Linked DNA regions of Neurospora crassa OR74A. The protein of the gene in region 1 interacts with the protein of each later gene in a pairwise test. Links are inferred from orthologs where the notes say so. Each region holds a gene or a part of one and is shown on either strand. Other genes may lie near its edges.

What was found.
Region 2: the proteins of NCU04041 (region 1) and NCU09131 interact in binary tests that used the Saccharomyces cerevisiae proteins (3 or more experiments, as listed by UniProt). The link is inferred for Neurospora crassa OR74A from reciprocal best matches to the Saccharomyces cerevisiae genes MAK5 and NOP12.
Region 3: the proteins of NCU04041 (region 1) and NCU00404 interact in binary tests that used the Saccharomyces cerevisiae proteins (3 or more experiments, as listed by UniProt). The link is inferred for Neurospora crassa OR74A from reciprocal best matches to the Saccharomyces cerevisiae genes MAK5 and RPF1.

Annotation. Positions count from the first base shown.
Region 1 is NC_026506.1:2,535,175-2,539,205, reverse strand, and holds NCU04041 (ATP-dependent RNA helicase mak-5), read right to left. Parts: upstream 2,801-4,031; 5' UTR 2,718-2,800; coding exon 2,493-2,717; intron 2,432-2,492; coding exon 239-2,431; 3' UTR 103-238; downstream 1-102. Other genes in the region: NCU04040 (tRNA (uridine-2'-O-)-methyltransferase TRM7), read left to right, coding at 3,338-3,440, 3,510-4,031. UniProt on the Saccharomyces cerevisiae protein: ATP-binding RNA helicase involved in the biogenesis of 60S ribosomal subunits and is required for the normal formation of 25S and 5.8S rRNAs. Required for the maintenance of dsRNA killer plasmid.
Region 2 is NC_026501.1:5,442,398-5,446,363, reverse strand, and holds NCU09131 (nucleolar protein 12), read right to left. Parts: upstream 2,801-3,966; 5' UTR 2,499-2,800; coding exon 2,488-2,498; intron 2,425-2,487; coding exon 2,361-2,424; intron 2,300-2,360; coding exon 1,190-2,299; intron 1,121-1,189; coding exon 521-1,120; 3' UTR 65-520; downstream 1-64. Other genes in the region: NCU09130 (hypothetical protein), read left to right, coding at 3,403-3,966.
Region 3 is NC_026503.1:3,739,871-3,743,869, forward strand, and holds NCU00404 (RNA processing factor 1), read right to left. Parts: upstream 2,515-3,999; 5' UTR 2,377-2,514; coding exon 1,656-2,376; intron 1,584-1,655; coding exon 1,408-1,583; intron 1,328-1,407; coding exon 1,066-1,327; intron 996-1,065; coding exon 871-995; 3' UTR 501-870; downstream 1-500. Other genes in the region: NCU00405 (glycyl-tRNA synthetase 1), read left to right, coding at 3,181-3,999. UniProt on the Saccharomyces cerevisiae protein: Essential protein. Required for biogenesis of the 60S ribosomal subunit.

The DNA of each region.
Region 1 (4,031 bases):
GAATCTAGGCCATGGGGAAGATGGAGACCTTGATGGACCCATGGACCCTGTCTCACTTGGCAGCACAGTCCAAGACGTGAACTGTTCTTTTAGTGCCTTATAGAACAAAACACGAGAGAAAAAATACAAGACATCTTACTCAGAGTGAAGAGACCGGATACTATATGTAGATCACCGCTCAGAATTAAATGGTTAACCGTGAAAGGAAACATGCAATACCACAGCCATGAATCTGCGTCTAATCATCCAAGCCCAATCCGTCCACCTGGCCCAAAAACAGCCCCTGCTCGCCCTTCAGCAGCTCACTAACATCCAGTCCAGTGAGGTACCTCTCGCTGACGCCCGTGTTGATCCTCTTGCTCAAGAGGTCTCTCAACGCAGCCCTCAGCGACGCCAACTCGCCCTTGCTCATCTGCTGTGCCTCCTTCTGCTTCTGCTTCTTGGAGCTACCCTTGCCACCCCACTTGCCCGCCTTCTCAAGCTCTTCCGAGTCATAGTCGACGCCCAAGTCCTCTGCCGCCTTCTTCATCCAATCGTCCTCTTTTCCACCCATGGTCTTGGCCTGCACCGCATCCGCGATCTTCTTGGCCAAGTCGACGCGCTCCCGCAACTTGGCGACGATGCGCCGGTCGATATCGATGGTGCGAAGTCCGCTCGAAACGAGCTTCTTGGTGTTGTTGCCCGAGTTGCCGGCCTTGACCTCGGCCTGGGCGTGCACCTTGGCAACGAGGCGCTGCGTCGGCACGGCTTCTTTGGGCCCGCAGAGCAGGATGCTCGTGCCCGAGTTGGAGGCACGGGCGGTACGGCCGGAGCGGTGCACGTAGTCCTCGGCGGCGCGCGGGACGTGGTAGTGGATGACGAGGTCGACGTCGGGGATATCGAGACCACGGGCAGCAACATCGGTAGCGACCAGGATAGCTGCAGAACCGTTCTTTTTCTTTGCGCCTTCGTTGGCCTTGAAGCGGTCGATAGAGCGCAGACGGGCTTGCTGGATCATGCCCGAGTGGAGAGGGAAGGCTGGAAGATTGAGGTTCTCGAGGAGGGGGGTTAGGCGACGGACAGAGTTGACCGAGTTGGTGAATACAAGCGCGCGCCGTGTGGGCTGGAGCATGAGAGTGGCATAGAGGTAGAGATCCTTCTCCATGTCGCCGCACATAATGAGACCCTCCTTGAGGTTCTCGGCCATTTGGTGGACGGGATTGGCGTCGACAAACTTGGGGGTTTCGCGGAAGTTCAGCTTCTGGAGAAGATACTCCATGTCCTGGGTGCTCGTCGCCTTGAACTTGGATTTTCCGGCCAACTTTTGCTGCAAGTTCTTGTTGAACGTGGCGGAGAAAATGAGAGTCTGCCTCTTGTTGACGTGCTCTTCCTCCTCCTCCTCCTCCTCCTCGCTGTCCTCTTCTTCCTCTTCCTGTCCCTCCTCATCAGTACCGCCCATCTTCTGATCCTCATTGTTCTCTTCCACCGGTGGCCTGTCAAGAGCCTTGAAAATCTCCTCGGCCTCCTTGAAGTGACCGTCCTTAAGAAGTCTATCTGCCTCATCCAACACGAGGAAGGAGATGTTCCTCAGAGAAGCGAGCACAGAGTTATCTGAGCTCATAACCTCCCACATTCTGCCCGGGGTCGCAATGACGATATCGGCGACCTGGAGCTGTCGTTTTTGCTTCTGTACGGCCATGCCACCAAGAACCGAGCAAATGTAAGGTGCTGTAGGAAGACCTTTGCAAAGCGCTTGAAGATGGTCTCTGATCTGCTGGGCAAGTTCTCTGGTGGGTGACAAAATCAGCGCTGTAGCGCCCTTTCTCTCTTCCTTGTTCTGCTTCCTCGTCTCAGCAGCGCTCAACCAGCTTTCGATGACGGGAATTCCGAATGCCAACGTCTTTCCCGAACCGGTGGATGCTTTTCCGATAACGTCGTGACCAGCCATGATCTCGGGAATAGCCTTGGACTGAATCACGGTGGGCTTGGAGAACCTGAGTTTGGCGATGGACGAGATCATACGAGGTGACAAATCGAGTGGCACCCATTCGGACATATCAATTTCCTCCTCTTCAGGCTCAGGAAGCTCCTCCAGTTTGGTGAAAAGATCGGTTTCTAGTTCGGGGTCCTTCGGCTCGACAGTAGTTTTCTCGTTCTTGCGGGCCTTCTTCTTGTCCTCGGCGTTCTTCTTATTCGCTGCCTTATTTGGCTGCTCCTTCTTTGGCTGTTGCTTTTGCTGCTTTTGCTGCTTTTGCTGCTCCTTTGGCTTCCTCTGGTCCTTGGAGGCCTTCTTTTCCTTGGCTGGAGTACTCGCAGCTTCGGCCTTGGTTTCTGATGTCTTGACTTCCTGGTCCGCATTTCCAGCAGGTTTCGGTGTCTCTTCGTCGTCGAAACCACCAAACTCTTCGCCGTCATCTTCTACCTCTGCCTCCGACTTGGGGACCGCAGCCATCTAAAGACATATGTGAGTTCATTCATGTCCTGTCGCTGTCATCATCCATGACCCAACTTACGAACTTGACAACATCGCCATCCTTTACAATGTCAACACCGGTAATTTCCTCCAAACCAAAGAAACCCTCCGCATCATCGAACATTTCAGGAATGTCGACCGTCTTCCATGCCAGCGCATCAACGGAAACAGGTCGCTTGATCTGCTTAGACGACGGTTGCGTCTTGCGGCGCTTTGGCCCGCTGGCGGGGGCTTTTGTGTTCTTGCGCTTCTTATCGACGGCCATGGTGTGAATATGTCGTCGTTTTCGGGTGGAAAAGGGTGTCGGGTTTGAGTGCTTGAGGTTGTTGGATGCACTGATGAACTTTGATTTGAAGGGTGTTGTTGACACTGCTCAGTGAAAATGGCTGTAAAAGTGAAATGGAAATTTTGGCTCCACCTTGCAGCTGGGTTGCAGCAGCCTCTAGCTGGAACAGGCTAGCCCATGTGCTGTAAATGACACCGCCTACCTATTCCAGGTCTGGCTAACAAGCTTGTAGTGTAGAGGGTGCCGACAGAATAGGACGTGGAAACAATCAGTCTGACTTTGATGGAGGAAACAAAACATGAGACGACATCTTATGATTCAAAGCTTTCGTTTATCGCCAAAGTCCTTCCCTCCAAGTATGCGCGTCTATGGTGTGCGAGTGCTGGGGCCGCCAAGGTGCTCGATAATTATGCCGGCAGAATCCTTTTTGGCGGTGACTATTTGCAGCAGACGGACCCAAATCGGCGCCCAGCGACAGCGACCCGTCACCAGGCAAAAGTGGGGCCCAGTCTCTTTCACAAGCTCCCGTCATTCACTCTCGTCACCCACTCGCGGCACTTCATTATTCGACACAAGTAAGTGAGAGCGAAGCATTCAAAATGGGGAAATCATCAAAAGACAAGCGTGATGCCTACTATCGCCTTGCAAAGGAGCAAGGATGGCGTGCCAGAAGTGCCTTCAAGCTTCTTCAACTAGACGAAGGTAAGAACTGTTTATTGCATATGTAATGTAAAGAAGTGTATCACCGCTAACACCGAGCGTTCCCATCAGAATTCAACTTGTTTGAAAATGTCACTCGTGTGGTCGATCTCTGCGCTGCCCCCGGTTCCTGGTCTCAGGTTCTATCGAGGGTTCTCATCAAGGGAGAGAAGTTCGGCCGGTGTGCTTGGCAAGACCGTGAGGCCAAGTTCCGCCAACAGATGCTCAACGTCTTTCCCGAGAAGCAAGACGCTCAGGATGAGGTTCAGAGGGTGCAGGCGACTCAGGAGAGCACGCCGGCTCCCAGGGAACAGGTCAAGATTGTGTCCATCGACTTGCAGCCCATCAGCCCTCTGCCAGGAATCATCACTCTCCGAGCCGACATCACACATCCCGCCACCGTTCCGCTTTTGCTTAAGGCGTTGGACCCCGATTTCGACCCAAGCACCATGAACCCGCAAGCCTCACACCCAGTGGATCTGGTCATCAGCGATGGTGCGCCCGACGTCACAGGCCTGCATGATCTTGACATCTACGTCCAGTCACAGCTCCTCTTCGCAGCCCTCAACCTCGCCCTCTGCGTCCTCAAGCCTG
Region 2 (3,966 bases), on another chromosome or scaffold:
CCTACACAGCTCACCCACAATTCCACGAGACATCATGTAGAAAGTTGGTATGGTGCACTTGAAGGCTTTACACGTTGTTTCTTTTTTATTTTCTTTCAATGTGGCCGTGTTGTTAATTTTTGTATTGTTTGCGATTCCCTGTCGCAAGAACCACGGAGCCAGGCTTAACAGTCGTTCCACGGTTATACTGCAATTTCAGACAACTACATATGTACCTAGTTCTGGGCGCCAAGGCTCTTCCTCCACATTCCCGTCATTGCGAAGTATCACGCGGTTGGGGACAGTCCGTTGAGATACCTTCATATGCGATGACTGCATTACAGCCTATCCTATCCTATCCATACATGCGCGCGTCATGAATCGAAGGCTTCTGTTCACTTTCGAATTCTGCCCCTTTTCTTGAAGCTTGAAAATCCACGGGCCGCGCCGGATGAAACGCGCGCACCCGCACCACGCCGGCTGCTGCCCGTTGGCTCTATACCAGCAAACAACCCTAAACATCAGGCAAATGGCCTAGCACTTATTTCTTCCCCTTCCCTTGAACCTTCCACTTCGAAGCCCTCGCAGCAGCACGACCAGTCTTCTTCTTACCACCACCCGCATTCGGCGCCTTGTTCTTCTTGGCGCCCTTGAACTTGAGATCCTTAGGTTTTCCGTCTGCCGCACTAGCACGCTTACCCTCGAGAATGAAACTCTCGGGGGACTTGTAGGCGCCCGGGACTCTGGGACCGGTCGCCTCCGTGTTGGCGCCCGAGGCGTGATTCCTCCTTTGGTTGGCCTGGTATCTGTCCTGCTTGTTGAAAGTCTTCTTCTTGTCGGAGCCGATGACCTGTCTGGCAGTGAACTTGCCGAGGAGCTTCTCAGCGCGGCCGGCGATGGTCTTGGCTTCGGCGGAGATCTTGGGGGCGTAGTCGGATTTCTTGGAGCCAGGACCCTTCTTCCCGTTGTTGCCTTTCTTCATAGTTTCCGGAACGGCACCCTGCGCCTTGAGCTTCTTGGCTTCGATGGCACGCAGGGTCTTGTGAGGGGCCTTGCAGCGGCTGACGCGTAGCTCGCGGGGGAGCATGGGCGGGAATTTCTTGCCGTTGAGGAGGATGGCTGACTCGACGGCGTTTTCATCCTACGGAGGGGGAACAGAGTTGTTAGTTGATAACGGGCAAGTAAGAGACAGAGAGAAGTGATAACTCACGCAGAACTGAACGTAGGCGAAGCCCTTGCCGACACGGGTGACAGGGTCGCGGACCACACGAACGCTCTCAACTTTGCCGCCCTCTTTACCGAATACCCGCCAGAGACCTTCCTCAACGTCCATAGGCTGCTTTGTCCGCTTCTTCTTCTCGGTCACCTCCTTACCGTCTTCGTCTACCTTCACTTGCAGTACTGTCTCGTCATCCACAAAACCAAGGTTACCGACGAAGACGCAGCGCTTGTGGTCTACCGGGGCAGGATGGGCAACGCTGTCGACACGGATGTGGCGATCCAACACGATTGTGCCGTTGAGTTTCGAGCAGGCAAGACGAGCGGCCGCAGGGGTACTGTAGACAACATAGGCGTTTGTCGACTTCGTAGTGGCCTCCATCACGGACTTCTTGATATAAGCGGCACGCTTGGGAATGGCAGCGGTAGCGAAGGCAGTCGAGCGGAACCGTATCGACTCAACCTTTTGCGCAGGTTTCGCCTCCTTGTCCAACACTGAAGCCATATGCTTCATCAAGGCCTTTTTGGCCGAACGAGAGGTGACGGCCTCGACGGCGACATTGCTGAGGAAGACGGTGCGGTTGGCCTTCTCAATCTCGTTCTGGGCAGCATCGGGCGCTAGCGATTCGTGAACGGGGACCTCATCCGCAGACTCGCTGTCGTCGTCGTCCTTCTTCTCGGCCTTGGCGGTATCCTTCTTTTCTCCGGATTGCTCGTCGGCCTTGAGACGCTTGCCAGCCGGCTCTTCATCGTCCTCCGCCAACTTGGACAGGTATTTGTGTTCGAGATTGTCGTGCTGGTCGGGTTGCTTCCGCTTCCGTTTCGGTCCATCTTCTTCCGGGACCTTTCCTTGTTCTACAACAACTTCGAGGGTCGCGACGGCTTCGTCTTCGCTGTCACTGTTGTCTTCAGCCTCGTCGTCTTCGTCATCCTCTCCAATGCCGACCTCGGAATCGTATTCTTCGTCAAGCTCGCTCAGTTCCTCGTCATCGCCCTCGTCCTGAACGTCTTCCTCTTTCTTGGAAGGTACTGGCGCCTTCTTGGACTTTGTCGGTAGGGGCTCGGAGTATTTTGCAGCTGGGCGGGGCTTCGCTGGACCAACCTACACAAGATTAGCCATGTAAACTTCCAATTGCCTGTCTGGTCAGAGCGAGATGACTTACACTGGTAGCAAACAAAGCATCCAAGCTAGGATCAACCTTCTTCACCGGCGCAACGAGTCCTTTACTATAATAGTGGTGTCAGAATACTGGAAGAATGGCGTTGACTGTAGCGTAGGGCTGTTCGCACGTTTTACCCATTGTGAGTTTTCCGTCGTGTGTAAGCGCAATGGATGGGAAAGTGGCACGATTCGCCAATCAAGCACTTGTGATTGACTTAGTTCTAAGAGCACGGAAAAACAACTGAAGTTCGACGACGAGGCGAAAGATGTGATTGGCTGTAAATGCTGTCAAAATCGAATTGCAAAGCTTCCACTTCTGATTTCTAGCAGGATGTTGTACAAGGCAAGACCAGTTTCTATGCAGGCAGGTTCAATGGTCCAGGGTTTCAAAGGGTCGTCGTTTCTACCTTCCCCACTGCGCATCGTAAGGACGAGTCGAGGACCGTGGAACATCTTGCATCCTCCCATTAAAAAAAAAAACTCGCTTATCAGTTGTTATCAAAGCTGCCAAGACTCACCGCCTGCCATCGCCTTTGTGTGGTGCGCTGGGCTGTTGGAGACGGGCGGCGGCGGCAGGCAAGCGGGCAGGCAATGGAGCCCCCCAGAAACCTGCCGGTTGCCCATTTGTGTTGCGTGCTGGTGCGGTGCTGTGGGCGCTTGTCCAGCTCCCAGTCTAGGTCGTCAACCAGATACCTACTGCCCGCTCCTCACTCTCCCGATCTGTCTTCCTACTACTTTACCTACCCAGACCGCACGTTATCTCTTGACAATCGCGCCCTCGTACCGACAACAAAGCCATATCTCCGAGACATTTCATTGTGTGCGAGCACACATTTTAACCTTCCGGCATAAACACACTTTACCCTGATCGTGGCGCCACAACTTCAGGTGCTGCTCTTGAGCTGCCCGTACAGTTCGGACGTCCAGTCCGCCGTCCACGACTAAATTCTACGTGGCCGTCCAACTTTCCACTGCTCAGCTGCTCAACCCAACATTGGCGCGTCGTTGCTTAGTTTCAATCTCGTCGGATTCTATGATCCGCGATGGCTACCGGTGACACCGCGCTGTCCTTGGCTCTCTCGAGCCCCCCTCCGCCTCTGCTCCAACACAGCCCTAGCGATGTGTCAAGCCCACTTAGTGACGTGGAAGACAAGCATGGAGATCCTGACGACATGGATTTGGACATGAACAGTAACCACTCTCAACATCGCGAGACATCGGTCCGAACTGACAATCGCGATGGCGTCGACTCGGACCTTGGCGCTGAGACTGACGACGAGAGCAAGCTGTCGGACGTGGATATTAATGACTCCGAGGCAGAGACAGAGAGGCTCTACGACACACCACCGAAAGATCGAGTATCGCGCGACATCGTAGACACCGCGGGTGAGCCTGGCACTCGACAATTCACCGACCGCCGCGATCGGACGTTCGAGCGCAGCCCTAGCAAGCTTCAGCAGCAAATCAAATCTGATTACGAACCGGAAAACACTGCCAGCGGGCGAAACACTCCCTCAGAAGAAGCAGAAGTGGGTGACGAAGAGGCCTCGGAAGACCTGAGTGACGAAGAGCCTGAATTTGCTGCCAAACTACCACCTGCGCGATCT
Region 3 (3,999 bases), on another chromosome or scaffold:
TTCAGTCCATTTCTCCACCCCATCCTTCCAATTAACCCAGCTCTCCTTCGCAACCTTCCACTTCCTCACCACCTACCTGACCGTCTTCCTCCTCTCGCGACCTCCCCTCTCGCTCTTTGTCCTCGCTCCATCTCTCCCCGAGACACTCCCCTCAGCGTGGCCATGTCCCTCGATGTGATCCTTCCTCATTGGCTAATAGCTTTTAATTCTGTAACCTTCTACCAAATCGCTTGGATCTTGCTCACGCCAATCGTGGCGTGACGAATCACGTTCTCTACCACTCCGTCTTACCCGAGAGAGCCATGTTGGCTTTGGTCCCAGCTTGTCGTGTGCGGGGTGTGGATAGTCAGTCATTATGATATCCTATCTTTTACCTCTTTCAACCAAAACCGTACCTGGTTCAGCAACAGATCAAACCCAAAAGCAAGTCGAAATCATAACCCTCTAGGGCATCCTCTTCTCACTTCTCGGCATCCTCGGCTCGTCCCTCTACACCATCTGGATCGCCCACTATCACCGCAACTCGGCGGCATCTCCAGCTTCTCTTGCCGATGATACTGAGCAGAATGGCTGAGATTTCGTTGCTGGGTTAGATATCCAGTGGCTATGCTCAAGGAGGAAGCCAAGAAGGCTGGTCATAAATCGTAGAAAGGGAGAGGAAACCGGCGGTACATGCACAGAAAATAGGTAGTCTTGAAGTACAGTCATAGTGACCTGATGTTGATGAATCATGCCTTCCTCCCAAACCCTTTTGTGAACCGATAACGCCACATACACACTTTGAACAAGACAAATACTCTCCAGTGCCAACAGAGACGATGGCATACTGAAAGAAGGGTATCACCAATACTACTATCATGATCAGCCCCCTTAGAGGTTGAAGCGCGTGCGAACCTTCTCCATCTTGGCCTTCCACTCCCACTTCAAAGCATCCTCTCCTTCGCTGCCAGCCCGACCGATACCCTTATCCACTCTACGAAGCTTGAGAGTGAATCCTATCAAAACAAGTCAGCCACTTTCGGTTCATTCGCCAAAACTTTTGTTTTCCGCGGTAGCAAGACTTACTGGGTCCAATCTCCTGCAAACCAGCACGGATACCCTGCATACCCTCCATCTCCTTGCCCTCCGCAGTAACCACGTTCTTCTCCGTCGTGCGGGCCTCGCGGAAGACGTAGCGGTGGCGGCGAAAGAAGATGTAATCACGCTGGTTGTGCAATGTCACGACCTGGCGACCCGAAAGCTCGGGCCTGGGAGGGAACATGGTGTGCATGGATTTAGCGGCGAGGATACCGAGAGGGGTCTTGAATCCATTGAGGAGAAGCTCGGGCTGTATTTTTTTTTTGGTTGCAATGCTTAGTCTCAATGTCCTGTAATTAATGGACTTGGGGATTAGGATGGACGGCTTACGTAGTGGTTTGTAGGGTTACCGTGGCCAAGGAGAGCCTTTCCAGGCAGGTAGTTCCGGATGGTGTATGTCAACGAAGGACCAGGGGCAACATCTTCGCCGTTGAGATGGATGACGGTCAGGGAGCTAGGCTTCTTGAGATCTTCGCCGACAATCATGAGAATCGTGTATCCACGGTCTGTAACAATTCAGGCCTGTGTTAGCAATTTTCTCTTGGGCAACAAAACTCCAACCTGGGTGCGCTACTCACTCTTGGCAAACTTTGCGATCTCGCGAACACTATACTTGTGTCCATACGCGTGCGCACTGCGTCTGATGTACGTGCTGTTGGGAAAGATGGCAGCAATGTCCTCCGCCTCCTTGTGAATGGTGCCGTTCAAATGGGTGGTGACCAGAATCTTGGGGTCGACTGGGGGTTCCTCGTTGAAGAGATTGGGAAATTGTCGTGTGAGCGAGTCGGGAGTCATGTCTAGATTTGTCGACGTGGTCGAGGGAGCGATGCTGGGTTTCCTCTGCGCACGCTCCTGTCTGAGTCTCTCGATGCGCTCCTCGGCATCTTCGTCGTCGTCGTCACCCTCCTCGTCCGAGTCCAACATAGAATCGGCATCGTCGTCCTTCTCCTCATCCTCCTCCGTGACTCCATCGGCTAGCCTGGCGGCCTCGGCCTCCTCCTTCTCCAAGCGCCTCCTCTTGAGCTCGGCAACATCCACAGCGACGCCCAGGCTGTCGTCGTCAACGTCATCCCACACGCGTTTCCTCTCAATGGTCAAGGGTTGGTTGTTTGCGAGGCGCTCTTCTCTGAGTTTGGGATCCTTGGCCTCCTCCTTCCTCCGGCGGTGACGCTCCTCATGGCGTTCCTTTCCCTGCTCCTTCTTTTGCTTGACGTATAATTGCTTTCTGACAATCTTGTTGGAGGTCTTGAGCGACAGCGATCCGCCGGAGCGGTTTTTGCCCTTGTTACCGGACGGCATATCGGCTACGATGTGGTAACACGGCGGTGGGATTAGTGGTTGTCGCGGTGTCAAAATTGTAGGGTAGGATCAATTCTCCAGGTCACAGTTCAAACTTCGACGTGATGCTGGGCAGTTGTTGCTACCTCTACCTGACGGATGAATTGAACGGGCCCGGTAAACTTTCAACTTTTTTTCTGGGCCCAGAGCCATCAAGGGCGCCAAGACGTGCATCTACAAGGGTACCCCAACAGCTAACGCACGGCCTCAGCCGGGGACAGGTACGTACCGCTACCCCTCAGTGTACACTACTACCTGACTGTCACCTGCACAGGATGACTCCATCCCGTCCCTTGCTGTAAGTTGGGACGGAAGCAGAATTTTTGGGATGAAGAACGGCGGCATCACGGACTCTTGATAATCAAATATCAATACCTCTAGCCGATGAAAAGTCACAATAACGCTAGCCAGCGGAATGCGCTTTCTGTAAGGGAGTTACTTAGGTAGGTAGAGGTAGTGTACAGTAGCATGTGCAGTTCCACTTCCTGATATGGCTGGTGGATTCCAGCGAGTCGAGCCTTCTGTCGCGTACCGCGCCGCCACTGACGGCGGCTCGAGAGCGGGAATCTGGACCGCTGTCCCTTGGCTTAGGTTGTCTGGGTCGTTGGTGCCGGCCCCTCCATGGCGCCCCTCTACCCCCCCAAAGAAAAAAATCATCCCGCGATTCGGTTGAAGTACGTGTTTCAATTGAAAAGGCCTCGACGAAACCTCAGTGGGCGACCGTGACTCACTTGGTTCCCTTGAGCACTGTAACAAGACCAATTCATGCGACCTCTTGCCCGTCTCGCCTCCCTCCGTTCTCCTGTTGCTGGTCAAGCATTCAAATCGACCTTATCCACCCGAGCCGTCGCCAGTCGAACTTCTTGGACCCCGGCGCCCATCCCGCGGATCTCTTCGACTTCGCTCCGATCCTTCTCCCTCTCTACCTCGCACCATCGCTTCCAAGTCTACGTCAAAAAACAAAACACCAAGATGACCTCGACGGCCACCACCCTCAAGGGCCAGCCCCTCGACAAGGGCGCTCTCGAGTCCATGCTGCGCCGCCGCATGTTCTTTGCGCCCTCCTTCGATATCTACGGCGGTGTTGCTGGCCTCTACGACTATGGCCCGCCCGGTTGTGCCCTCCAGGCCAACATCATCGACATCTGGCGCAAGCACTTTGTCCTCGAGGAGGACATGCTCGAGGTTGACTGCACCGCCCTGACCCCCCACGATGTTCTCAAGACCTCCGGCCACGTCGACAAGTTCGCCGACTGGATGTGCAAGGACCCCAAGAACGGCGACATTCTGCGCGCCGACCACTTCGTCGAGGACGTTCTCGAGGCCCGCCTCAAGGGCGACAAGGAGGCTCGCGGCCAGAAGGTAGAGGACAAGGAGGAGGACCCTAAGCGCAAGAAGAAGAAGGCCAAGGGTACCGAGGCTGTCAAGCTCGAGGACGCCGTCGTCAAGGAGTACGAGGAGATCCTCGCCCAGATCGACAACTACAACGGCGAGCAGCTCGGCGAGCTCATCAAGAAGTACGACTTGAAGAACCCCGCCACCGGTGTCCAGCCTGAGCCTCCCGTGGCCTTCAACCTTATGTTC